Linked DNA regions of Mus musculus. The protein of the gene in region 2 interacts with the protein of the main gene of each other region in a pairwise test. Links are inferred from orthologs where the notes say so. Each region holds a gene or a part of one and is shown on either strand. Other genes may lie near its edges.

Region 1 (4,037 bases), on a different chromosome or scaffold from region 2:
TGTCTTATATAAGAAACAGCAGAACCGTTAACATAACACCTCGGCAAAATAAACAAAACAAAACGTGCAGATAGTTTCTTTGCATCACTATAAACCCAGTAAAGATTTTCAAAGTAATTGTGAGAAAAACACGTGAAACAAAAATGCATGCATCATCAGTAAAACCTTAAATTCAATACAGATTAAGTAAAACAAGCATTTGCAATTTGTTAATAGAAAATATTAAGTTTAAAGGAAAATTTTATTGAATATTAAAACCAAGGCTATTGCGAAAGTTCTCCTTTTCCAGCATATTAGAATCAGGGTCATGGAGCTGAAGACTGGGCATGACCGGCCTAAGGAATTTGAACTCATTCGTTCCAGTACCTCCTGTGAAACACACCTCATATTGGTAGTTCTGGGACAGGGTTCCAGTGCCAGTAACGTCCACCAGATGGCCAGGAAAGTGTCCCTCAGGCACAGAGCAGCCACCCAGAGAGGCAGCCCTGGCCCTCCTGCACAGCCTCACCCCCACAAACAGCAGCACAGACAAGAGGAAGAGAGAAGACACAGATGCCAAGGCTATGACCAGGTAGAGTGTTAGTACATCTTCTTCTTGTGCAGGGTCGCGCGCCACCTCTGGCAGAGGCAGGTAGGGCTGAGAGAAGCCATCCACCACTAGCACGTGCAGCGTGACGCTGGCAGAGCGCGGAGGATCGCCATTGTCCTTGACTAGCAGTACCAGCCTGTGCTTGGGCACATCGCGCTCGCTCAGCAGCCTGGTAGTGCGTACCTCGCCATTGTGCGCCCACACGCTGAACAGCCCTGGCTCTGTAGCCTTGAGCAGCTGGAACGACAGCCAGGCATTCTGGCCAGAGTCGCGATCCACAGCCACTACTTTGGTGACCAGGTAGCCAGGTTCTGCCACCCTGGGCAGCAGCTCAGTGCAAGGCGCAGAGGCGTTCTGCATCGGGTAGAGCACGAAGGGCGCATTGTCATTGTCGTCCAGCACTACCACGCGCACCAGAGTCTGGCTGCTGAGTGCGGGCGAGCCTCGGTCTGTCGCACCCACTTGGAACTCGAAGGCCTGCAGGACCTCATAGTCCAGCGCCCTGAGCGCAAATAGCTGCCCGTTGTCAGCGTTAATGGAGATGAGCGAGGCGAGGGCCAGCTCTGGGTCCTGAGCCGGTAGCAGCGAGTAGGTGATGTGGGCATTGGAGCCTGAGTCTTTGTCTGTGGCACTGATGGTGCCTATGTGCAGGGCAGGGCTGTTGTTCTCGTAGATGAACATGGTGTAGGAGGTTTGGGTGAAGGCCGGGGCATTGTCATTGATGTCAGATACCTGTACTCTTATGGTGTGCTGGGTTGTGAGCCTGGGTGTGCCCATGTCGGAGGCAGTGATGGTGATGTTGTACTCAGCTCTCCTTTCTCTGTCTAGTGCTTTTTCAGAAAGTAGAGTGAAAAAATTCTTGAAGCTTGGTTTCAGAATAAATGGAAGGTCATCCTGAATAGAGCAAAGGATCCTTCCGTTGTCTCCAGAGTCTTGATCTCGGACACTGAATAGAGCGACCAGGGTCTCTGAAGCATTTTCTGGAATTGCCTTTGTAACCGACGACATGATCACTTCTGGTGCATTGTCATTTATATCTAATACTTTAACCGAAAGAGTGCATTTTGCAGAAAGACCTCCACCATCTGTTGCTTGGATATTTACAGAATAGGACTGTATTACTTCAAAATCCATTAGTGATCTCAAATTGACTTCCCCAGATGTTGGGTTGATTTCAAAGGTTTTTCTAATATCTTCTGATGCATGCAAAAATGAATATGAAATTTTCCCATAAATTCCCATATCTAAATCTTTAGCAGAGATGGCAGTAATACTGGAGCCAATAGGCATGTCCTCTGGGACCTGCACCTCATAGAAACTCTGAGCGAACTCTGGAGCATTATCGTTGATGTCCAAGACTTTTATGACAATCAGTGTTGTCCCAGACCTGGGTGGAGACCCACCATCTAATGCTGTAAGTGTCAATCTAAGCTCAGATTCCTCCTCATGATCTAAAGCTTTGTCCAGAACCAGCTCCGGGTATATCTTTCCATCGCCACTGTCATGAATTTTAACATAGAAATAAGAACTGGGGCTAATGCTGTAGTCCTGAAGACTGTTGCTTCCTATGTCCAGATCTTGTGCATTCTCAATTAAGAATGTGGCTCCGATAGTAGTGCTTTCTGATATTTTAATAGTTATTTCCTTGTCTAGGAATGTAGGGGAGTGATCATTTATATCTCTGACGTGCAGCTCAGCTCGATAGAACTGTAAGGGGTTTTCCAGTACCACCTGAAAGGGCAGCACACAGGGCTGGGTGGAGCCACATAGCTCTTCACGATCCAGTCGCTCATTCAGGAGCATATCTCCAGTCAGCAAATTAAGGAGTAAATGCTTTTTATTATCATCTGACACTACCCTGGCCTCCCTGGAGGACAGCTCCGCAACCCCCAGTCCTAAATCCTTTGCCAGATTAGCCACAAAAGAGCCAATTTCTGTTTCCTCTGCTACAGAATAGCGCAAAGATTCAGCACTCGCCTGAGACAATCCCAGGAAAACAAAGAAAACCAAGACTTGCCTTTTCTGCAGGATGAGAGCCCTTCTCCTTCCCATGGTTCCTTCAGGTGACTTCTTTTACTCCAAAATTTAAACCCAGTCCCAAATTTTACAGGTAAAGGTCCGATATTTCTATTGAAAGTCCCTTGGCAGCTCTGCCGGTGAAGCTCCTGTAATACCTCTCTTCTCATGGAATCGTCTGTTCTCTGGTCCTTTAGATACTGGAGCCCACAGGGCTGGCTATGCAGTTTCATCTTATCCTATAGCGCCACCATGTGTCTCTGTGAATTTTTTCATTTAATATTTTTCTCCTAAAATTTTATGTCTATCTAGAATATTCAAAAGCAAATGTCACATAGATTGCATTTATTTCTAAATATTCATCTGTTATTTATAATTATCAAAGCCTTTAAAATATAATTACAAATCATTACCACAATAGATGTGTAGAAATACTTTTTGCATATAGCTTATAACTCAGTCTGTTTGAGCTTTCCCGTTTTTCTACAAAATGTCTTGTGTTGTTGGTTTGTTTGAATTGGAATCCAAACACAGACCATACTCTGTATGAAATCATTAGTGCTTTGAATGTTCAGCTCAAAAAGATACAATAAAGTGTCCCCAAATTAATAAAAAATATTTATTTCATGACAATTCTTTAGTAGTTACAAATATTTACCACCGCTTTGGTAAATATTTGTTGGGGTGAGTTCATTATCCAATTACATTACCATTTACACTTACACACAAACATACACTCATGAGTCATGAAAACTACACAACACACTACTTCTTTGTTAGTAGTGAACTTAAGACAAGGTAATATTGGATTCCTTGCTTTTACATTAAAAACACAGTAAGGTGCAGTGGCTCAAACCTTCAATGCCAACACTTGAAAGGCAGAAGTAGGGGGACCTATAGAGTTTAAGGTGAGTATGGTCTACACAGTGAGCTCCATGTCACTGAGAGTATGTAAGGACACCGTGTCTGAAGACACATATACACATATGCATCACTGAGAGTATGTAGGGACACGGTGTCTGAAGACACATATACACACATGCATACAAACATGTGCTCATGTGCATATGGGAGGATATGACACAGTAAGATGATCTTTCTATGGAACTTGAAGGGAATAAAAAATCGATTAGCTAGTAACTAAAGATATAACACTGCAGAGGTAAAGAATAACAGAAACATCTTGAAGAGACATGTAACTGCACCCTAGGAAATGGATAATATTTAGGAACACTGAATCATGGTTCTGTCACTCACGCTCTATAGACCTGGAGAAAGTATGTACCTTTGTCTCCTTATCTATAGTGTTGCCTCCAAAGGTTTTAGTCACTGAAATTTGTAAGCTGACATTTGCAGAGCAACCAGAAGAAAATTAACTAAAAGTCTTTTAAGAGAAAACAAGTAATTTATGTGGCATTACCTCAGTAGTGAT
Region 2 (3,500 bases):
GTAGACCTGGGCTATGTGAGAAAACCGGGGCTGAACATGAGCTGGGAGCAAAGCCAGGAAACATTCCTTCTCTCGGTTCTGCTCCAGTTCCTGCCTCTAGGTTCCTGCCCTAACTTCACTCAGTGATGGAGTGTGACCTGAGAAGATAAACCTTTCTTCCCAAGTCAGGGGTTTATCACAGCAACAGGAAAGCAAGCTAGAACATACACACACTCTCCCCCCTTCATCAAGCCATGCTTCCCAACTGGCCCCCAGAACAGTGAGTGGGTGGCCTCTGGGGGGGTCCCCCACCTCCCCTCCTTCGCCCTCCCCACCCCCTCACCTTCTTCCGCTGCTCTTTCTGTCTCTCTCGGAACTCCTCCAGGCTCCGCAGCTCCTCACGCAGGGCCAGGGCCAGCTGGATGTGTGCACTGCCCACATTCTCTGTTTCTAGGGTGACAGCGTGGCCTCTGCTTGGACCAGTCTGTCTCCCTCACCCTACCTCCCACCCTCACATCTTCCATCAGCCTTTCAGCCTGGCACAGAGCTGGACCACAGCCCAAGCACATAGCTCCTAACTTAGTCACCCCATACAAGGGCTAAGGGTCTTCCAGGAGACCCTAATGGCCCTGCTGCCCATGTGGGGATGGTTGGAACTTACGCTGCTTCAGGGAGTCAAAGGAGGTCCTCAGGGAACTGCAAAACAGAAGTCTAGGTCAGTAGACAGCATGCTGCAGGAGCCTGGCGTCCTGCCTGACCCATGGTGTTTTATTTTGGAGGGAGGGCCCTAAGCCATATTGACTACTATGGATGCAAGGGACCTTTGGCCATGGTCATCATTCATGTAACCCCCAACTGACATTCTAGAAAACAGTTTTCTTTGTAAATTAAAAAGCAGTGGAACCTTGCTGTGGTGGGAAAGCCTCCTTGCTACGGCAGTTCTGTCCCCCACTTTCTCACTCCCCATGTCTTTGCAGCCCAGAGAAGAGGGGTGTGTCCACAGGAAGCTCCCAGCCTCTATGAGACTTCCGCCCATGCAGGCACCTGGTTATACTCAATATTGCCTGGATGAATCTGACGCAGGGGAAGGTCTTTATAGCTCTTTCCAGCAGGTGGCATGGAAGGCATAAGGAAAGGCTGGGAGGTGGGCAGGGACAGAGCCAGGGACAGCTATGGCATCTGCTTCAGGCTGGGTACCAAGGGGAGGGGAAGGAGGAGGCTGTATGGGAGCTAGAACAGTGCTCAAGCAGGAGAGGCTGCCAGGTAAAGTGGAAGCCCCTGGGCAAGTGGGGGTGACACCTGGGCAGCAGAGGCAGACAGGCCACAAGTTTAAGGTCATCATAAGCGACCAAAAAAAAAAAAAAAAAAAAAAAAGACTCTGTCCCAACTGCTCCCACCCCCTTCCCACAGAAATCCCCACTCTGCTCAGTTTACTTGAACAGCACACTGGGCGCCCTGGATTCTCTCCGGCAGCCTTGTTCACCCCAGAGCATGGTAGCGCTGAGGGCCAAGCAGAGATGCCGGCTCGGCCAGCACACACTGCTGTTTATCGGTGGGTATCGGAGTCCTGGGGCCAATACGGAAACTGTGAGCGCGAGTCCAAGCTCTCAGGAGCAGGGCCCTCGAGAGGCATGTGCTCCATTCAGAGGAGGGGGCAGATAGTGTGTGTGGGAACCAACCTAGGAAATCTGCGGTGGCCTCTTACTCCGGTCTCCACACACAAAAGCAGCACACCCTGTAGCCAGATGGCCAGGCTCTACCACTTATTCACTGTGTGACCCTGGGCAAGCCACCTGGCCCTCTGCCTTGACTTCCCTTCTATGGTGAGCAGTTAGCAGCACAAAGTGGTTTTGAGAATGATAGTCCACTCACTATAAGGCATCGTTGAAGCCTGGCGCAAGTCAGGAGCTTAACATGCCTGTCACACTCACACATATGCAAACTCCGCCAGTCCCCAGGACATCCCCCAGGCACCAGCAGCCGAACTAGGTCTTCCTCTAACCCCAGTTGCACTTTGGAAGAGTTTTCCAGTGGCGCCTTCCCAGAAGCGGCATCCTTAACTTCAGGTAGGAGGAGTCTCTGCCTGGCTACACCAGCTTCCGTCCTTTCCCAGAGCCTCTCCGGCAGCTGAGTGACATCAGGCCGTGCATGTGAGGGAGATGTGCCTCTGCGCTCCCAGCTTGGGCTTAGGGGTACTACGTCTCTTAAGGACACAAAAGCAAACGCATGGTGGCACAGCCTGCTCCACGCTCAGCATCGAGAGCTAAGTAGCGCCCTTGTTGCAAGCTTTCACTGCCTCTCTGCAGGGCGCTCTTCCGCCCCCTGGTGGTAATATAGTCATGTGGCACCTGTCACATAACCAATTCCCTGGGTGAACTGTAAGGGAAGCCCACCTGCCTGTGCTTCCTTCCGGGGTAGGATGAATATGTTCCATGGGGGCTTCCTCTTCTCTCTGAACAGTTGGGGACATTGAGGCCAAGGAGGAGTGGCAACCTGAGAGGACCCCTGGAGATCCAGGCCCTAAGGAGGATTATGGGGTCCTAGTTACTGCCAGGTGTCTTGCCTGACAAGACCATGGAGCAGTAGCAACAGCCTGGGAGCCATGAGATATGCAGATGTGCAGGCCTCTGCCAGTGACCAACCGCTGACCACTTAGTCCTAACCTTCCAGTGCTGACACACTCAGGATGAGGATAGCCTGAATGGTTTCCGCCTCGGGCCCACAAGCCATTTACAGATAAGGAAACTGAGTCACTGAGGCCAAAAGCCATCCAGGTGGTAAGAGGCAAAACCTCAAGGCCAAGGGCTGCACTTATCGATGGCTCAGGGGTTAAGAGCACATTTGGTTCTTGCACCCACATCAGATGGCTCGCAGCCCTGTAACCCCAGCCCTAGCCATCACCACTGGCCTCCACGGGCCCCTGCACACATCCGCACAGCAGACATACAAATGCAAATCCTAAAAGATAAAATGTCAAGGCTAGCCTTGCAGAGGAAGGTGACCACAGGTTAGAATGATTCTGACTTTCGGCATTTATCACCAATGTGCAAACGTGCAACACAACCTGCTAGTCTGTAGCTTGGCTCTCAGGAGACCTGGAAACTCTAGCTGAAGTCTAGTTTCACAGTATAACTGCTCCTCACTAGGAGACATGCCTTCACCCTGATCTCAGTGGAGCAGAGATCATAAAACACATGAAATCTCCTCTGATGGGACCATCTCAGCACTTGTGTTTAGGAGGGGTGAAGGTCAGGTGGGCTTTAAGGTGCCCATGGGCTAATGTTGCTCATCTGTAACCACAGAGGGGCTCACAGGACATTGGCCAAGGTCCACTCTGTTCTCCAAGGCACCCACAGCATCCCTCCTGGTGTGGCAAGAAGAAGAGTGGGAGGAGGTGACTACTTCTTGAGCAAGGTGAGGGTCTGGGCAGAAGCAGAGGACCAGACAGGAAGGCTGATCATGGTGTGTGCGGTATCATGACAGCTCCTGAAATACCTAGCCTGTCCTTACAATGCACCAAA
Region 3 (4,299 bases), on a different chromosome or scaffold from region 2:
GCAGCTTCCCCACAGCACATGGGCATGAGAACAAAACCCTGTATCCCTCACCTTCCTAGCCAGCTTCCGGGCTGGGCTCTTCCAGCCGCCAACATCGTCATCTATCTTACTGTACTTAGTGTGAATGGAAGAAAGTTGAGAAGCACTGGCAGGATGCATGACAGCAAAGTCAGACACAGTGGAACAACCTGCAAGCCCAGGACTCAGGAGACCCAGGCAGGAAGAGCGCAAATGTGAGGTAAGCATAGGCTACCCAGCAAGAACCGGTTTCAATGAATGAAGATAAAACACATAAAAGCAAGCTGGGCAGTAGTGGCGCACACCTTTAATCTCATCCAGCACTCAGGAGGCAGAGGCAAGTGGACCTGAGAGTTTAGGGTCAGCCTGGTCTAGTTCCAGAAAAGCCAAAACAAAAACATAAAGGTAATTATAATCTCAAAGTCCACATTCTCTAGTTAGAAGTGAAGACTTTCCTTACTTGGTTTTACTATATATAAAAATTATTTCATTGTTACCAAGTAATCAAACCCCACATTACATATGTATGCATGTTTTTAAAATACAGCAGCTTAAGTAACCTTTTCTTTAGCAAAAACAATATCCCCTAGGGTAAGATGAATTAATGAACACATTTGATCACTTATAGTGTTATGTTAAGTTATTTTGAAAAGAGTTAACTTCTGCTGTAAAGATGGTCAGGAAATAAACTTTGAGCAAAGATACCAAATGAAAACCACACCAAAGAGTGATTCTGCTATTGAGCTGAGAGCCAGTTCAGAAGTTAAGAGAAAGAACTACTCTTGAGAAGACCCTGGTTTGATTCCCAGCACCCATAGCCAATACCTGGCAAGCACCTGTAACTCAGATCCAGAGCAGGTGTGGCCTACACAGGTACTTTCATACCCACATACCCACCCAGAGATAACATACACAATTAAGAAATAAGAAATAAATCTGTGTCAAAATGCTACTATTTCCAGGAAAAATGATCAGATACTTTAAAAGAGATACATATAAAAGGTCAAGATTTAACTTTAGAACAGAAAGGATCCGTTCCCACTCTAATCCAACAAAAGAAAGACGCTGCTACTCTTCCACAGCACTGCCTGAGGCATAGAAACAGGCATAAAAAGCACTTTCCCCCACTGCTGAAGACAAAGTAAATTCCAAAAATAGCAATCTCTTACAAACAAATCTGCCTTTTCCAAAAACTAAGTATAAAAGCTAACCAGCTCTCATGCCAGATACAATCCCAGTGTGGATTTTAATCTTCATTTTTAGTCTTAAATAATGCCTGTATCTTAAGACAGATCACCGTCAAGTGTTAGTAACAAATAATGTCTTAATACAGATAAAAATCTTAAAGCAATCATATAGCCCATCTGCTGTCAACTGATGTTCCACAGTTCCTTTTTTGGCCTCAAATGATGAAACTTCTCTAACGTCTCTGGGGAGACTAGTAAAGTATAACGTTTCCTGAAATTGTTCTTGTTTCACTGCACCATTTCGTGACACCTCTTCACCTAAGAATGCTACTGCAGGAAAGGCCAAAAGTACAAGCAAATGCAAAAAGAATACCATAAGGAAAGCTGATTGAAGGAAGATACAGGGGAAGGAGGGAAATGCGTAAGAATGCAAACCATTGCTAGCAGAGAAGCGCCAACAACGAGATCTTGCTTATTCTTCTAGAAACAAAAACCAAAAATTCTAAGGAAAATGCGGATGTTACTCGAGGATGATGTTAAAACTCCAAAAAGCGTTCCGCTGACACGCTACAAGAGTTCTACTCTCTCTTCCTATGTGCTTTAACACCGCTAGCCCTATCTGCAAATTAAATGCCGGCTATAGATAATGCAATCTCTAGAAACTACAATTGTGGTTGCCATCTTTGCCTGAAAATTTTTTCTTTTATTGGATTTGCAAGGGGGGGGGGGAATACATTAAGTTGGAAGCTACAAAAAACACCTTCAAGTCTGACAGAGCACAGGTTAACAGGCGTCTCCTACCAAACTAAGGTTTTAAAGGTCTGGGAAAGAAAGGCAAAGGAGCCACGGCCTTACCAATCCCGCAAGGGTGGGGCATCGCAAGAAAAAAAAATTTAAGAGGGCGAGTTTCTATCGAGGCCGAGGAGCAGGCCCACGAGCTCGCACGTTGTGGTAGCACAGGACGCTGGGGACAGGGACGAAGGGCGGCTTCGAAGAAGAGACGTGGGCTGCCAGGGAATGCCCAGAGTGCGGGCTGATAGAAGGAGGCACCCACCGGGCACCGGATGAAGATCAGAGAAGAACGAGCATGAGTCCGGCGATCCGAGGCTGCGCGTGGGAGGCCGGGCAGAGGCCGCGGAGCGCCGTGGGCAGGCGGCCGTCCTCGGCGAGGGGCTCTGCCGGTCTCCGGCCGCCCCGACCGCGGGTGACGGCGGCGGGCACAGCTGTTTCCACCCCGCTGGGGAGCGCGAGGGGAAAAGCATCCCGGCGGTGGCCAGGGAGCCGAGCGGCAGGCATCCTCGCGTAGGGGCGCGGAGCGGAGCCCCCACCGCGAAGCGCACGACGAACTTCGCCCTTTCTTCCCCCTAAGCCGCCTTTATGCCACAACTTCGCGGCCGCTACTGTCCGCGGCCACCGGCCGACACCCCCGCTCGGCTCGCCGCCAGGCGATCCCCCGACGCCCCGAGGTCAGGGAAGGTCGCCCGGAGCCAGGCCCAGAGGTCTCGGACGCCGACCCCGCGCAGACGCTCACCTCGTCTCGATGGCCCCCTCGCCCTCCCCGCTGCAGCAGCTCCGCTCACCTGCATTGACGCCATGATGAAACCATCCCCCCAAGGCCAGCGAGGCCCGAGACGCAGGGGGCGGAGCCGCCGTGCTCGCGTCACGCCGCGGGGGCCCAACATCCCGGGCACGGGGGTGGAGTCGCCGATGGGAAGGGGCCCGCGTGTCCGATTGGCTAGCGCGCGGGTGCCCGGGGCGGGGCGGGGCGGGGCCAGGCCGGGCTCCCTAGGTACCTTGCATCCCAGCCAATTTATACGCGGGCCCACCCTCAGTGCTGGCGGAGGCGCTGCTCCAGGTCGGACTGAAGCGTTATGCCGAGGTCACAATGCTGTCCGGGCATTTGGCAGGGAGGGGATCTCATTTTGTTTTTCCAGCTACAAGTGTAAGATTTACAGCCCACCCCCTTCATATGTCTTTTTTACACCTACCGTGTTTTCGCTCCTGAGGCAGATACAACTTCGCCTGGAGATGCTTTCTGGTATTTGCAGACCTAGGAAGCTTCTACTTTGAGGGGCAGAGAGTCACAGGTTTCCCTATAGGACAGAATGAAAACTGAGAGCAGTGATCTTAAAAGCAAGAACAATTGGATTTGAAACGTGCTGGAAAGGGAAGGAGGGTGAATAATGGAGTTCCCTTTTGTGTGCAATTTTCTAGTTCCCTAACCCTCTAAATTGTAAAGTCCAGGTATACCATAAGAGTCGTTGTTACATCAGTCTTACTTTTGATTAACAATTTGACTCTAGCCGTGAAATCTCAATATAATGAATATAGTTTACGTAATTTAATACTTAATACTTAATACTTAAACCTTCTGCCATGCCTAGATTTCTCTTCACCCTATTCTGTGGTGGGCAGTTGCATGATCAGACGACCTATGAGTGAGCTTGAGTAGAAATCGCTGAGCATACAGAATTTATTCTAGGAATGCACCAGTTCTGCCAGCATTTATCAGAAGTCACATTTTTAAAGCTCCTCCGGAACCAAAGATGTCGTTTACTTAAATACCAAACGAAAAATGGAAGCCAAAAGCTTGCACCTCATGTCCTGTCTCTAAAGGAATCAGAGAGGATGGCATGTTGAGTAGAAGGCTTTTACTTTACCCGGATGAAAGTTTAAATCTTTATTTTTATTGACTTGGCTTCATTTTTAGACATTTCTCTAAAATATAAATATAATGGTGATGTAGGTTATCACTCTCACACTTAAGCTAGAGCACGATGTTCCTCTGAGAACATCCGTAAGGAAATGTGTTCAAGAGAGGAAAAGATGTCTAAATCTGCCAGTTTTTCTGTGGTGTAATATTCAAGACGGTTTCTCTTCACCATGGAGGAACTTTTCCATGGGGTTTGCATGACTTGGAGTACAGGACTCAACCAGAAGCATATCCGCTATCAGTTCAGGTATGTCGTTACCATCACAACATGGAACAAAGTGCCCACATAGCCCAGTGATGAGGTACGCTTACAGGAAAGAGTCTCCACCAGGCCTTCCAGAGATCTTTGTCCCTGTGATCTCAGGCTGTAATGTACCAGCT
Region 4 (3,500 bases), on a different chromosome or scaffold from region 2:
ATTATGCACACTCATCCTCTGAAACTGTAAGCTAAGTCAACCCTTTCTTATTTAAATTTATTTTGGGTCATGATATTTTATGACAGCAATAGAAAAAACATACAATTCAAGTAGCAGCTATTTTTCCTGTGTTTAAAACCTAGCTTAGTTGTTTCCTTTGCTGTCTCCCTGGTTTTTGGGTTTTTGTTGGTTTGCTCCTTTAGGATTGTATTGTTGTTAATTCTCTTCGTCTTTGTGAGACATAGTCTCACTCTGCGGCCCAGGCTGGGCTCCGACAGTCGCTATGCAGTGAGATTATAGGCATGAGCCACTTTAGGGAGCCTTTGAATAATTTTACATTAAAACTAAGTTAGGTAAGGTGTTTCTTCCTTCTTTGGTATCCTAGGAATGGGGAGGTAAAAGTTCAAGGCTCACCTTGGCTATTAAGACCCCGCCTTTTAAAAAAAGAGTAGTGGTCATTCAAAGAAGCCACAGAACATTAACAAACCTTTCTGAAAAGTGTTTCAGAGCTCGTTAGTTCTATCATAAATAATACGGAGTTTACTGGAGTAGAAAGTCTGTCAGATGAGACAGGGAACAAAGAAGTCACAATATTTAAGGACATAAAAATCCTATAAATGTTTAGGCACACATTCTTAATTTCCCAGATATGAAAAAAAATTAAGGCTATCTTCCTTCCAACTGGAATGTTTCTTTGCTTTTCATTTAAAATATTTCATGGCTTATAAGTAGGAAAAATAATCAGACAATAAAAACAGGTCAATGAGCTCAGTTAAAAACACCTGCTCTTATTTAACACAACCTCTAACCTGCACTCGGAACACAAAATTAGTTACCCCTTCAAGAATGGCAGAATTTGAAGGCTGTGTTTACATGACTTCTTATGTCTCAACATGACTAAATTTGCAAAGACTAATTGGAACTTAGTATTACCTGGAAAGAGTGAAAACATTTTACAGAGCAGTTTAACAGAGATATAGCTAAACTTAAGCCTGTTAAGGGGCAGGTCATTACTTTGGGCAATGCTACACAGCACAATTTAATAAAGATGTCCAGTAAATGTATACCAACAGTTTATATTTAACTTACTACAAAAATGCTATGTCAGGTATCATAGCACACATCTATAATCCAAGCAGAAGAGTGGAGGCAAGGAAGATAGCCTTGGCTATTTAATAAGTCTGATACCAGCCTGGCCTACATAAGATGCAGTGATAAGCCTTCAATTCTCAAAAAAAAAAAAAAAAAAAGTGGGGAGATTAGAATATTTAACAATAAATATCACCCACCATAATTCCTTAAAAGGTGAAAAAAAAAAAAAAGAATGCTCGTTTCATGTTTGCTTAAGATTTCAGAAGTTTGTAAACTATAATTTCAGGGTATGACAACAATGGTACAGACATGGCAGCTTGCTCCTCGGGAACAAAATCCAGCACAGGATGTTTGTCACTTGGAAAACACCTTACAATCTACATCGTAAGAGCTATGAAATTCAGGTATATCTTACAAATGACATCTATGCTGTGTAACTAGCAATGAATTCTTTTAAACTCTCATGTTTAGTATGTGTCAGGTAAGGCTTTGTCTGTCCCCTCTCTTTCCTTCCCTTCTTTCTGCTAAGGGACAACATTATCGGGAGGTAGCCCTGAGCGGCTAAAGCTCACATCAGCCTCCTTGGTTTGGGGTTATAAGCGTGTCCCTACACCCAGCACTTCTCTGCAGACCACGGGATCTCAGATCAGTAAGGCCTTTATATCTATATACAGTTTTTAAAGTCTGAGACTTCATCACTCATGAAAATTTGCCTGACACTGATCATATGAGGAAATATGATGTTTTACAGCAACATTTAGACAGTCTATTAACCAGATTAGATTATATCAATTCACAGGGTCTTATTCTCAAACACACCATAACAGGGCTAGGAAAAGCTCAAGATATAATAAAACATCATATTAATGTAGAAATAAAACCTTATCTCACAAAACATAAACACTGTACTTCTCTACATTTAGAAAATTATTTTGTACCTGCAATGAATACAAATAGGCACATCTTCATGTTCTTGGTATTTCCTCATTAAGCTTATCATGTCCAGAATAGAATCAAATGACGAAGGAACATCATGGTCTGGCCAGTTCACGTAATGAAACTGATAGAGCCGACGGGATTCCTACATGAAAAGCAGAAATTCAGGGGCTGGAGAGATGACTCAGCAGTTAAGAGCACTGACTGTCCTTCCAAAGGTCCTGAGTTCAAATCCCAGCAACCACATGGTAGCTTACAACCATCCATAATGACATCTGATGCCCTCTACCGGTGTGTCTGAAGACACCTACAGTGTACTTACATATAAATAATAAATAAATATTAAAAAAAAGAAAAGCAGAAATTCAGTAATTAGAAGAATGTATTTACAAACTTGTAAGCTATGTATTCCACGTCTTTAAATTTTTTCCCCAATTTTAACCTTATAGTAAATATTGAAAGTGATAGCCCGCATAAATTAAACATCCAAAGATGCCTCAGTAACTCTAAAAACTATTTATTTTCATTTATGAGTCCACGGACATATGTATGCTGTGTGTGCCTCATGCCCCATGGTCAAAGAGAGTTTTAGATCTGAGTGGAATGTGAGTGGCTAGCCATCAGCGCTGTGCTAGAAACTAACCTGGGAGCTCTGCAAGGGCATTTAACCTTGGAGCAGTCTCCTTAGTCCCCTCAATAACTTTTAAGATTGATTATTCTAGATGTCAGTAGAAAGAACAGAGCTTGGGTTTCAGTTCCAATATGCAAGTTCTATATTTGTCAATTACTAAATAGGCAAATTATTTAACTTCTCAAATCCCTTTTATCTATGCAATACATACTTTTATAGTTAGAATAACTGATATATCTGATACACTTGTAGGAGTTAAGGTACTAACTAGAGATAAAATGTGCAACCTGAGTAAAAGAAATGACTCAACTAAAGGGCTATCATTAGTCCAGTCAGTGAGAAGAAAGACTGTGTGTCGCTTGCCAGACAGAAAGTAGGTAGCCTTACAATGAGCTGGGAAGAATGCTGTGACAAGACTGTACTGGATGATTGTGTGTGTCAACTTGACACAAGCTAGCATCAGAGAGGATGGAGCCTCAGTTGAGGAAATGCCTCCATGAGATTCAGCAGTAAGGCCTTTTCTCAGTGATCAATAGCTAGAGCCCAGCTCATGGTGGGTGATGCTATCTGTGGGTTGGTGGTCCTGGTTCTATAATAAGTCAGGTTGAGCAAGCCATGGGAAATAAGCCAGTAAGCAGGCCTCCCCCATGAACTCTCATGAGCACTTGCCTCCAGGTCCCTGCTCAGTCTGAGTTCCTATCCTGACCTCCTTCAGTACTCAACAGCAACATAGAAGTGTAAGCTGAGCAAACCTTTTCCTCCCCACGTTGTATTTGTTCATGGTGTTAAGTCAGAGCAATAGAAATCCTGACTAACACAGTGACCAAGACAGACTAATAAT
Region 5 (2,532 bases), on a different chromosome or scaffold from region 2:
AGGTGATGGCTCCTAAGATCAATCCAGTGGCCCGAGTGGACCAGATTTGATATTGTCACCCCAACCAGCCTCTTTCCCAGTTTGCAGCTTCCTATCTCAGACCCTGGTCTCCTTTCTAAAACAAGCAGGGTTAAATTTTTATTTTACCCCTGCTCAAGGGAAGTGGCCAGTGTCCATTGGGGCACCTGGGGGACTCGAACCTCTGCTCAGGTAGCTCTGTAGGACATGAGCCAGCGGTCATGTGGTAGCTCACATGGGTAGAGGACCTGAGAGGAAGGTGAAACCTTTATGCTGCTTGTCCAACATCCTTATGTGCACATGTTTGTGGTTTCTGTGTTTCTGCCGCGACAGATCTAAGAAGAGGCCTCAGATTCCAGAGGCCAGACCAAGTGACTGTGTAGCTGAATCAAAAGACACCACTTTGTCCTGCAAGTCTCGGGAGGCACTTGGGTCCTACTTCCATTAAACACTAGACGGAAGAGTGGGCATGCTCACCTGAAGAAGATAAATCCACACAGCTTTTTATTGGAAATGACGAACTCTGCCTTCTTAATTAGGGGGCGGCAGTGAAACACCATCTCCACTCCCACAGGGAGGTTTTGGCTGAACTCGGGGTCTGGGTAAAGGAGGGCCTTTCTGCTGGTGAATCTGTGTGCCTGATGGAGGAGGTCTCTTCTTCTGCTGGTGCTCACGGGTACGGTGGCCTGGAGGCAAGGGACGATGGCCAGGTGTCTGGAGGTGATGGCCAGGTGGAGGAGGAGCTTGGAGCGCCACTGAATTCTGCGCTGCTGCGGCTGGGGTTGAGTGCGGCTTGGGGCCCCTTTCCACAGTGCTTGTTCTGGAAGCTTTTATTTCCAGCTCTTCATCTATAATGGCAAGACGTTTTAAGAACTCATTCTGACAATAGTGAACAATTTAACACGGGTGTGCAAATGTGTGTGTGAGTACATATGTAGATAAGCATGTATGTGTGTGCCAAGGGATAACCTCTGATGCCATTTCTTAGGCACTGTCGCCTTTTCTTCTTTTTGAGATTAATTCTCTCTCTCTCTCTCTCTCTCTCTCTCTCTCTCTCTCTCTCTCTTGCTCTCTCTTACTGTCTCTCTGTCTCTGTTTGCCCTGCAACTTATCAAGAAGCCCAGCTAGGCCCAGGGAATTCACCTGCCACTGCTCTGGGGTTGCAAGTACCACCTTGCCCGTCTTATGTGGGTTCTGAGGAGTCTACTTCAGTCCTCATGCTTGAAAAATAAGCACTTTAGAAATGGAGCTGCCTCCCCAGCCCCACGATGCGGCCACTGAACACGCTTCATGTGATAGGCATCAAACCAGCGGCTTCAGGAGATGTGAAGAGGAAAGGGAAGTTACTCCCACCCTCTTCAAGTTCTGGGTGTGTCAGGGGAGAGAGAAACGTTGGCCATAGATACCCTGAGACCTAGGCCTCTTTAGAACTCAAAAATATGAGGGAAGAAGACACCTGGGTGGAGAGCTTTGTACTTAAGGCTCTAGAGTGTTGGAGTGAGTATTGCATCTGGGAGTTGTAGCTGGATGCTGCCTAGAGATAATCAGCAAGGTTGCTAAGCAACAACCCTCAGGGCCCGAGCCCACTGAACCCAGGTCTGAGTGGTCGTGAAGGGCATCAGAGACTATACATCTTCTGTGAAGTCTCTACAGTAGGTCTGCCTTTTGCTCAATTTGATTGTCACACAAGCCACATTCTGAAAGGAAACTGGAGTGCCCTCTAAGGGACAATCTAGCCCTGAGAAATGGGCTAGCTCTTCCAAAATTCGTAAGCAAGACCCGGCTCTTGGGCTTCAGTGGGAAAGATGGTTCCTTTCCCCACGCTTGGGGATTTTCTTCTTTGTGTGGCTTCTGTCCAGGAAGACAAGCCTGAGACTGTGTCGATCTTCTTACACTGTTTTTAAGCCACACAGAAAATCTGTGGGAACAGGCAGCTGGCAGAAGCCTGGAGCCACTGCTGGGCTCCTTCAGGGCACATTCTTGGTATTCCACTCCCTGTGCCTTAGCCTTCCTCAAGGAGCCAGGGGGAGCTTCTCTGCGGGGTAAATGAATGGTTGCCTGTACCCTTTTAGAACATTTGTCTTGAAAAGCATGTCTCCACATCACCAGGGGGCTGACATATGGACCCCAGGTAATACACTGGCTACTGTAACTACTGTAAATGCACTACGAACACAAAGCCTCAAAGGCAAACAAGGTGGCTTTGACACCTGAGGGACCTGCGTGCTCTAAGCACATACATAAAAAGACACCCAAAAGACAGAACATGTCCTTTATGCCATGTTCGGTGCCCCAGAAGTGCCTGAGGTGTTTGGAGGGGTATAGGTGAGACTTTGACCCTAATCCAGGGTCCTAGACACAGACCAGCAGGTGGTCCTTCTTGCACAGTGGCACGCTCCCATGACTCTCTGCTGGCTCTTCTGTTTGTGGCATTTTTTTCCCCTCCTGTGCTTTCTCTCGTGTTCTATGTGTTAGGCCCATTGCTACACCTCAGTAATGACTCAGGCAGCAACA
Region 6 (4,226 bases), on a different chromosome or scaffold from region 2:
CCTGTAGATTGTGCAGGGGTAAAGATGGAGCAGAGGGAGAGGGAATGGACAAGCAATGACTGGTCCAGCTTGAGACCCAGGCAATGAAAGAGAGATCACCCCTGAAACTGTTAATGACATTCTGTTTGCTGTACTTGCAGACAGGTGCCTAGCATAACCACCATCAGAGAGGCTTCACCTAGCAACTGATGGAAACAGATGCAGAGACCACAGCCAAACATTAGGTGGAGCTTAGGGGATCCTGTGGAAGAGAGGAAGGATTGAAGAAGCCAGAGAGGTCAAGAACACCACAAGAAAACCAACAGAATCAACTAACCTAGGTTCATAGGGGCTCACAGAGAATGAACCCCCAACCAGGGAACCTGCACGGGACCAACCTAGGCTCGCTGCACATGTTACAGTTGTGTATCTTGGTCTACTTAACAGTGGGAGCAGGGGCTGGGTCTGACTCTTTTTTTTTTAATTTTTTTATTATTTATTTATTATATGTGAGTACCCTGTAGCTGTCTAAAGACACACCAGAAGAGGGAGTCATATCTCGTTACGGATGGTTGTGAGCCACCATGTGGTTGCTGGGATTTGAACTCAGGACCTTCAGAAGAGCAGTCAGTGCTCTTAACCACTGAGCCATCTCACCAGCCCCCTGGGTCTGACTCTTGTTACCTGATTTAGGGATCCTTTCTTCCTCTTGGGATGCCTCCTCCAGCCTTAAAAGTAGAGGAGGTGCCTAGTCTTAATGCAACTCGATATGCCATGGCTGGTTGGCATCCATGGGAGGAGAGAAAGGGAGGAGTGGATGGGGGGGGGGAATACTGGGAGGAGGAGAGGAGGAGGGAGAACTCTGGTCAGAATGTAAAGAAAATTTCAAATTTAAGAGAGAGCGGGGGAGAGACAAAGAGAGAGGGGGAGAGAGAAGACACCTAGCACACAAGTCCACCCAGGTTTGGTGATACATGCCTACAGGAGACACTTGGGAGGCTCAGGCAGGGAAGATTTTGAGTTTGTGGCTAGCCTGGACCACTGGATTATACTGACTTTCAGTCAAGTCAGTCTCGAAGTCTCTCTCAAAACACTCTTAATGACTACCCCAAAAGCAAGGCAGTCACTGGCTTTTAGCAACAAACCTGCATGCTCTTCCTAGGGCAGGAGAAACTAGGGGCTCCCACGGGCTCCTTTCCTGTCAATCAACTGGAAATTAAAGAGTCGATTTCTTTCTTTGGAAGAAAAGGTGGGGGAGGAGGCATTAAAGCTTAAAGCTTCAAGTCCAGGAGATGAAAACAAAACAAAACAAAAACCTGCCAGCTGGTCCCAGTTTCAAAGTCAAGTCCTTGTTCCCTAAAATCATGAGTCATGGAAGGCAGAGTCAGATGGGTCTGTATGAGTTTGAGGCTAACCTGGTTTGAATATCGAGTTTCAGTCTTGCTTCATAAGACCTATCTCAAAAAATAAAATAAAAATAAAATCACATCCCTAAGAAATTTACTTCTCTAAAAATCATTTCGTTAACAACTAAATCCCTCAACTGAACGCGATATCATTTGATTTCAACCGGATACACGCTGAATTCTAACTTTCCTACCCCGACCTTACCCTTGTAAATGGATCTTCGGTTCCCAAAATGGAGAAGTTGTAAACAAATTTCAGAGAGCAGCTATCATGTTTATAGAATTTAGTTGATGAAAGATTAAAACAGGTGACGCCTTGGGAGGCAGAGGTAGGGGGCAAATGTTCAAAGTCCTCCTTATTAACTTATTATTAAGTTTCAGGGAAGCCTAGTCTGGATGGGACCCACGGGGGGTGGGGGGGTCGCTATTCCGTCTTTATAACTTTGTAAAATATGGTTTCGGATCAGTTAAAAACCAGTTTAAACGTCAGACCAAATCCTAACACGCCAAGCCTTTATCGCTGTGGTAATGGAATGGTAAAGGAAGAATGTAGTTGGCGTGTTTGATTTTAATCCTCACACCATGCCAAAGTTTTGAGCCAGTGATTTCACACGGCCCCCCATTAACTTTTCGTTAGCCTAGCTGACAAGAAATGAACAGGCTGAGATTGCAGCCCGTTTGTCTTTCCAAGCTCACCATGTGAACCAGGCAAAAAGAGGGGTATTGGTAGAAAAGCCAGGGGCACGAGCAAGAGTACGGATCAGTCTAAACTAAGTCCTGATTGAAAGAACTGCTAGAACTCAGGGGAAGGAAGAAAGAAGAAAAGAACAGTTTTGCATTTTCAGCTCTCGGACTCGTTCCAGAATTCCGCAATGACTGCCAAATGCAACGGCCTTGGAACCAATTAACCATCACTCGCGACCTTCCGCGTCGACTCCCAAGAGTGCCCTCCTTCCAGCTCAGTTCTGATCCTACTCGTGAAAGACATGGGGGAGGGCGAACGCATTGCAAGTAAGGGAATCGAGACCCCAGGGGAGCAGGGCGAGCTGGTCCAGGGTAAACTCCAGGGGAGCGGCTCAAGAGTGCTGGCGGCACGGGATGCACAGCGCATTGCAAATGAGGGAATCGGAGGCCCTTGGGGAGTAGGGTGAGCAGGTTCGGGGTAAATTCCAGGAAAGAGACGCGAGAGCGCTCTGGCGACGCGGGGTGTGCAAAGCGCCTGCTCAGCTGGGGACCCGATCTTGGCCTCCGCTCTTGCCCGCCCACCCTGGAGACCCCAGCCCGCCCCACCGCCGCCTGACCTGTCCCCGCGGGGTCCGGGTGCGCAGCGCGCCGCCTCCATACCCGCCCGACCGGTGGCATCAGCGTCCAGACCCCGAGACGCCGCCGCCCGGCTGGAGAGGATGGAGGAGATCGGGCCCCGCCCCTGACAACCACACCCCGCACTGTCGCCGACGCCCATTGGTCCAGTGCCCTACGCTCCCCTCTCACTGGCAAATGGCGTTAGCCATGATGCTGGAGGGTTTCCAGGGGGCGGGAGGCACCGGGAGGCGAAGGCGCGTGCGCTAGATCCGGGAGCAGCCCCCCGGGGTTGGGTCGGAAGAGTCTGCTGCTCCATTCCACCGCTCCGGGACTGGCCCCCACAGAGCGATCCCCAGCACCCCTCTGTGGCACCGAGAACATCCAGGCTGCTGCCTTGGGTTTTCTACTCTTTATCACCTGAAGCCTCAGCATCTGACCACCGACTCTGGGATAGCCGAGGCCTTCAGCCTCCCAAACCAGCCTTTGCCCAAAGCCCGACTGAGGGATCCCTACCTGGGGACCTTCAGCAAATGTCCTTATTTAGTGAGGGTAGCAGCTAAGCTGTCCTCTCTGCAGTAAATCATGCCTCCAGCCATCAATGCCTTTGTGGCTTTGGTCCCTATAGGACTTTATGACCAGAACTATAGCATATAAACTTAATTAGTAAGGCCAAAGTCACACTGATGTTGAATCCAAAAATTCACTTAAAAAATAATGTATTTATTTTGAGACAGGATTTCACTATACTATCCTCGGTTGGTCTGGAACTCTGAGATCCTACTGCCTCTGTCACCCTAGTGCTAGAATTAAAGGCATGTGCCATCGTGCCCTAGGCTATTATGTGTATGTTTCACCTATGTGTATGTCTGCATATCATATGCATCCCTGGTGCCCAAGGCTGTCAGATACCCCGGAACTGGAGTTACAGATGGTTGTGAGTCACCATGTGGGTGCTGGGAATAGAACTCGCGCCTCCGGGCATCCAGGGCTCATAACTGCTGAGCCACCTCTCCAGGTCCCAGAAATTAATTTTTGAAAACTAGGGAATATGATACCTGCACACATAGGCTAGGAAAGCATTGCACTCACTTAGCCCCTCTCCCTGTGGGACTCTGGATTGCTCCTTTGTGTGTGTGTGTGTGTGTGTGCTACAAATCTTCACTCATAAGCTCTGCTTGGTCTAGAAAGGGCTAGTGCTAAATGAGTAGGGTTGAAAGAGATGCTATTTGAATGAGTAAGAGGACCACTGAGACAGGCACATCCACACTACCCACACTAGAGTGTGAGCTTCCACTTTATGTACACATAGGATAAGTTACTGATAGGAATCCATTTCTCCACCACATGTGATAGCGTCATATTTCTTCCACTGTAAACACATCTCAAAACACAAACCTAAAGTACTCATCCGTCCCCTAGCTCTCTGACCCCATCGTATTCACCAACACAGGCCTGGCTTGGGACCCTTTGAGCCAAGGCTGTCAACCATTAAAAACCAGAGCTCTCTCTTGATTTTCTCCAGTCGCTGAGCCTCACACT
Region 7 (3,932 bases), on a different chromosome or scaffold from region 2:
TGAGATCAGCCTGGACTACATTAGACCTGTCTTCAAAATACACAAAAATCAAATTACAGCCAAGCATGCAGTGCACACATTCAATCCCTGCACTGAGAGGCAGAGGCAGGTGAATTATCTATAAGTTCCAGGCCAACTGGGTTACACAGTGAAACAAACAAACAACTACACGAGGGGCTGGAGACATGGCTCAGCAGGTGAGAGCACAGGCTGCTCTTCTGGATGACCTGGGTTCAATTCCCAGCACCCACATGGTAGCTCACACATCTATAACTCCTGTTCCAGGGGGATCCAACACACTCACAGACACATGCATGCAGGCAAAACACATGAAATAAAAATAAATCATTTTAAAAACAGAAGAAACAAACAACAAGAGCCCCAGATCCTCAGGGCCATCATGCCCAGCATGGGGACTTTGGGTCATGAGAGGACTGGGGGAGCCTACAGTACAAGGCCCTTCCCAAGAAGAGCTGAGGGGCGGGGAGGAGTTAGTGGCAGGGAAGTGAAGCTCTAGCCCACTTCCTGCAGAGGCTTCCTGGAAGGGTAGGAGGCAGAGGATGACTTTTGTGAAAATGGCTGGTGGGTGGGTGGGTGGCCTTGGTGATCAGTGACAATGGTGTCCACCCTGATCCTCAAATAAACAGCAGAAAAGAGCCACAGTATAGCATCCTATGGCTAAGCTCCAGGTAGTTGGAGCCATGGTTATCCTTGGCTACAGTGTGAGGCTAACCTGGGCTACATGAGATCCTGTTTCAATAAAGGAATAGAATAGTCAAACTCCCAAATACAAGGCACAGCAAGGGCTCAAGGGCAAACATTGCTAAACAAGAATAGAGGCACACAAAGCTCTTCCGGAACTGCTATGGCCCAGCACAGCCTGGAGGCAGCGATGGCAAGGTCCAGCCTTACTGCTCAACTTTCGTTCCTCCTGCCAGGGCCCCAGCCACCACCCAGGGTGCCCTTCCCTAGACTCTCTGCCCAATCCTGCTGAGCATGTCCCCTCCTGTGGTCAGGACCCTAATGGCCACCCTAGGCTGCCAGCCTGTTTCCAGCTCAGCAGCTGAAGCCGCTCTCTAATTATGGGTGATTAGCATCAGTCTCCCTGGCTAGACACAAGGTCAGTGTGGGCGTGGGCTCTGCTGCAGCAGGGAGGAGCAGTAAACACTTGCTGAACACGCAGGGGTGGGGACACCCAGCACAGGTGCATCCTGTCCAGTGCCACAGGTAAGAAAAGTGTGGTGTAGGGACAGGCCACCACAACCCCCCACTCCCCTACTGTGTGTGCAGTGGGAGAGAGGAATGAAAGAAGTAATTAGGAATGTCTCCCCAAAATGAAGGAAGAAAAAGCTCAGAGTGAAATGGGCCAGGGCAGACAGGGAGGCTGGAGCTGGGATAGTCACAGGCTTTTGAGTGGAGGAGACATAGCTTTACACAGAGCAGCTGCAGGTGTTATAGCCACCCGTTCTGGAATCCAGTCCCAGCACCTCCCATTAGAGGAGCCAGTTCCAGGAAGGGAAATTCCTTCTCAGCCATCATCCAGACTCTCTGGGATCCAGTGTGTAGATGAGATAGCTAAAGAACCAAGTCTAGGGCTCTGAGTTCAGGAATGTTCAGCTGGGACACTCCTGTACCAGCCTGACCGCAGAGATATGGGAGTGTCTGTGCGCACCTGCATGAGGTGGGTGTCCAGTCCTGGACGCACCTGGCCATCCCTTCAGGAAGGCTCAGGGTACACCCAGTGGGGAGTGCTTACCTAGCATGTGTTAGGCCTAGAGTTCCTGCACCACAAAACCCAGGGTCATTCTGGAGTAAAGGCAGGGTCAGGAGTTCACAGTGATGCATGTATACAAATGGAGTTCAAAGGCAGCCTGGGCTATATGAGACCCTGCCTCACATCCTGACTCAAATGTGGAGTATACACGTGTCCTTTCCATACTCCAGTGACTGAAGCAAGAGGATCAGGAGTTTGAGGTTAGCCTGGATTATGTCAGTTCAGATCAGAAAGCCTAACCAAAAAACAAACCAAATATCCTACCATCAAGAACTGGGGAGATGGGAATATGTGGCTCTCCTCACTTAGGCCAACGCGCCCCTCGACAGAGCAGGGGGAAACCTGGCCTCCTTTACTTGTTTATGCCAGGTCTAAGAGTCCCCAAACTGAGGAGGCCTGAGCCTAAACTAGGAGAAAAAAAAAATCCTTTCTTCCTGAGCAAGACATGCTGTGTGTCCCAGGGAGAGAATCAACCCGCTCTCTGAGCTGGATTTCCAGCCAAAGGCGTGGGCAGCTGAGGTCAGACACCAGATAAGCATCAAGAGGGCAACGAAGCCCACGTGAGCCATTAAGCCCGCCCATTTCCCGGAAACGCAGCTTTCCTATCAATGACGGTGACAAGCCCCGGAAACGATCATAGTCCCTCTTCCGGTCGCAAAAACCGTGTCCATCAAGAGATAAATCCCCAACGGTGACCGTCTGGGGCCCTGGAGGGACACCGGTCACTCCGGCCTCAGTTTCCCCCATCTCTCAGCAGCCCGAAGACCCTGCGCGCGCCCCTCCGCCTCGCGGCCCTCACCATCTTCCCTGCAGCGATAACTTCCGCCGCGGCACAGACACACGCGCTCCCACCGGCGGCCCACCGCGCGCCCCAGACTGAAAAAGACTGGCAGAAACTATGACCAATCAGCGAGCAGCTCAACGGACATCTATCCAATCGGGACGGGCTAGGGCGGTACCTACGGAACAAGACGGACGGCCTCACCGTATTTCTACGGTGGGATTGAGAGGTAGCCGTAAAGTGCGACACTAGAACGACGCAAAAGGCCGCAGCACAAGTTACGCCCACTACGGGGTGTATGTTGGGAAAGGGCGCCTGCGCAGAGGTGCTCTCCTGGATCTGGTTCGGCGCCTAATTCGGCGCCACACTGTGGGCGAAGCTGGCTAATGCATGCGAGTCGCGCGGTGCCTATTTTGCGCTCCTAGCCTTTCATTCTTTGTTTTGTTTTGTTTTGTTTTCGAGACATTGCTTCTCTGTGTAGCTCTGGCTGTTCCTGGAACTCACTCTAGACCAGGCTGGCCTCGAACTCAGAAATCCGCCTGCCTCTGCCCACCAAGTGCTGGGATTAAAGGCGTGCGCCACCACTGCCCAGCTCTAGCCTTCCATTCTTGCCCTTATGGATCTCTTTGTCTTTACCAACTCAAATAGAATCTTTGAACACGAACGGCAGGTCTGGCGTTCCCTGGCGACAGGAAGTGAAAACAAATCTCTGGGATTTTCCTGTTTTGAGATGGGCTTCTGTGGCAGCTGAAGCTAGCCGATCATGAACTTGCATTAGACCCCGACTCGGCTTCTCCACTGCTGGATGGCCACTGTGGGCCATCAAGCTTTAATCCTTGCTTTAAAAAAAATCATTATCATTTTGGGAGGAACATAGTGTTTCTCTGTACATCCCTAGCTGGCCTTGAACACACAATGTAGACCAGGCTGGTATCGACCTTCCAGAGATCCTAGTGAGTGCTGGGATTGCAGGTGTGCACCACCATGGTTTAATGTGTCTTCTTGAGCTACAAATTCAGGTTCTCATGCTTGCCCAGTAGGGGTGCCAAAGAATGATATTCCGGACTCAAATAGTATGAAAACTCAAAGAGTGTCTTATTATGCAGAAGTTGAGCATGCTGGAGTCTCGAATTACCAAAATAGACACCCATGTTAACTTGGAGGTTTGATTTAAAGCACATTAGGAAATTCCGGGGCAGGTGACCTCTATGTTAATCTGTGAGGTCCATCTCTATGGACGTTCCATGGCAGGGCTGCGGGGGCTGGAAACTTACTGGGGAGGTCTGGAAACTGTTGCTTACCCATTGTCCTTGCCTCAGGCCAGGTGGTGGGGCAGCTTCTGAGGCCTGGACTTGTCTGGAATTGGCCAGTTCTTGG

Evidence for each region.
Region 1: the proteins of Pstpip1 (region 2) and Pcdhb20 interact in binary tests that used the Homo sapiens proteins (3 or more experiments, as listed by UniProt). The two-hybrid records come from large-scale screens. The link is inferred for Mus musculus from reciprocal best matches to the Homo sapiens genes PSTPIP1 and PCDHB14.
Region 3: the proteins of Pstpip1 (region 2) and Ube2w interact in binary tests that used the Homo sapiens proteins (3 or more experiments, as listed by UniProt). The two-hybrid records come from large-scale screens. The link is inferred for Mus musculus from reciprocal best matches to the Homo sapiens genes PSTPIP1 and UBE2W.
Region 4: the proteins of Pstpip1 (region 2) and Ptpn12 interact in binary tests that used the Homo sapiens proteins (3 or more experiments, as listed by UniProt). The link is inferred for Mus musculus from reciprocal best matches to the Homo sapiens genes PSTPIP1 and PTPN12.
Region 5: the proteins of Pstpip1 (region 2) and Cd2 interact in a two-hybrid assay, tested with the Homo sapiens proteins (2 studies listed by BioGRID and IntAct). The link is inferred for Mus musculus from reciprocal best matches to the Homo sapiens genes PSTPIP1 and CD2.
Region 6: the proteins of Pstpip1 (region 2) and Tulp3 interact in binary tests that used the Homo sapiens proteins (3 or more experiments, as listed by UniProt). The two-hybrid records come from large-scale screens. The link is inferred for Mus musculus from reciprocal best matches to the Homo sapiens genes PSTPIP1 and TULP3.
Region 7: the proteins of Pstpip1 (region 2) and Lsm4 interact in binary tests that used the Homo sapiens proteins (3 or more experiments, as listed by UniProt). The two-hybrid records come from large-scale screens. The link is inferred for Mus musculus from reciprocal best matches to the Homo sapiens genes PSTPIP1 and LSM4.

The regions. Positions count from the first base shown.
Region 1 is NC_000084.6:37,503,027-37,507,063, reverse strand, and holds the start of Pcdhb20 (protocadherin beta-14 precursor), read right to left. Parts: upstream 2,801-4,037; 5' UTR 2,642-2,800; coding exon 242-2,641; 3' UTR 1-241. UniProt on the Homo sapiens protein: Potential calcium-dependent cell-adhesion protein. May be involved in the establishment and maintenance of specific neuronal connections in the brain.
Region 2 is NC_000075.6:56,117,476-56,120,975, reverse strand, and holds part of Pstpip1 (proline-serine-threonine phosphatase-interacting protein 1), read right to left. Parts: intron 2,500-3,500; exon of another isoform or gene 2,450-2,499; coding exon of another isoform or gene 2,373-2,449; intron 676-2,372; coding exon 641-675; intron 430-640; coding exon 323-429; intron 1-322. UniProt on the Homo sapiens protein: Involved in regulation of the actin cytoskeleton. May regulate WAS actin-bundling activity. Bridges the interaction between ABL1 and PTPN18 leading to ABL1 dephosphorylation.
Region 3 is NC_000067.6:16,616,452-16,620,750, forward strand, and holds the start of Ube2w (ubiquitin-conjugating enzyme E2 W), read right to left. Parts: upstream 2,801-4,299; coding exon 2,786-2,800; intron 1-2,785. UniProt on the Homo sapiens protein: Accepts ubiquitin from the E1 complex and catalyzes its covalent attachment to other proteins.
Region 4 is NC_000071.6:21,007,412-21,010,911, forward strand, and holds part of Ptpn12 (tyrosine-protein phosphatase non-receptor type 12), read right to left. Parts: intron 2,174-3,500; coding exon 2,031-2,173; intron 1-2,030. UniProt on the Homo sapiens protein: Dephosphorylates a range of proteins, and thereby regulates cellular signaling cascades. Dephosphorylates cellular tyrosine kinases, such as ERBB2 and PTK2B/PYK2, and thereby regulates signaling via ERBB2 and PTK2B/PYK2.
Region 5 is NC_000069.6:101,275,408-101,277,939, forward strand, and holds the end of Cd2 (T-cell surface antigen CD2 precursor), read right to left. Parts: intron 867-2,532; coding exon 550-866; 3' UTR 501-549; downstream 1-500. UniProt on the Homo sapiens protein: CD2 interacts with lymphocyte function-associated antigen CD58 (LFA-3) and CD48/BCM1 to mediate adhesion between T-cells and other cell types. CD2 is implicated in the triggering of T-cells, the cytoplasmic domain is implicated in the signaling function.
Region 6 is NC_000072.6:128,353,052-128,357,277, forward strand, and holds the start of Tulp3 (tubby-related protein 3), read right to left. Parts: upstream 2,801-4,226; 5' UTR 2,728-2,800; coding exon 2,687-2,727; intron 1-2,686. UniProt on the Homo sapiens protein: Negative regulator of the Shh signaling transduction pathway: recruited to primary cilia via association with the IFT complex A (IFT-A) and is required for recruitment of G protein-coupled receptor GPR161 to cilia, a promoter of PKA-dependent basal repression machinery in Shh signaling.
Region 7 is NC_000074.6:70,672,099-70,676,030, reverse strand, and holds the start of Lsm4 (U6 snRNA-associated Sm-like protein LSm4), read right to left. Parts: upstream 2,801-3,932; 5' UTR 2,577-2,800; coding exon 2,574-2,576; intron 1-2,573. UniProt on the Homo sapiens protein: Plays a role in pre-mRNA splicing as component of the U4/U6-U5 tri-snRNP complex that is involved in spliceosome assembly, and as component of the precatalytic spliceosome (spliceosome B complex).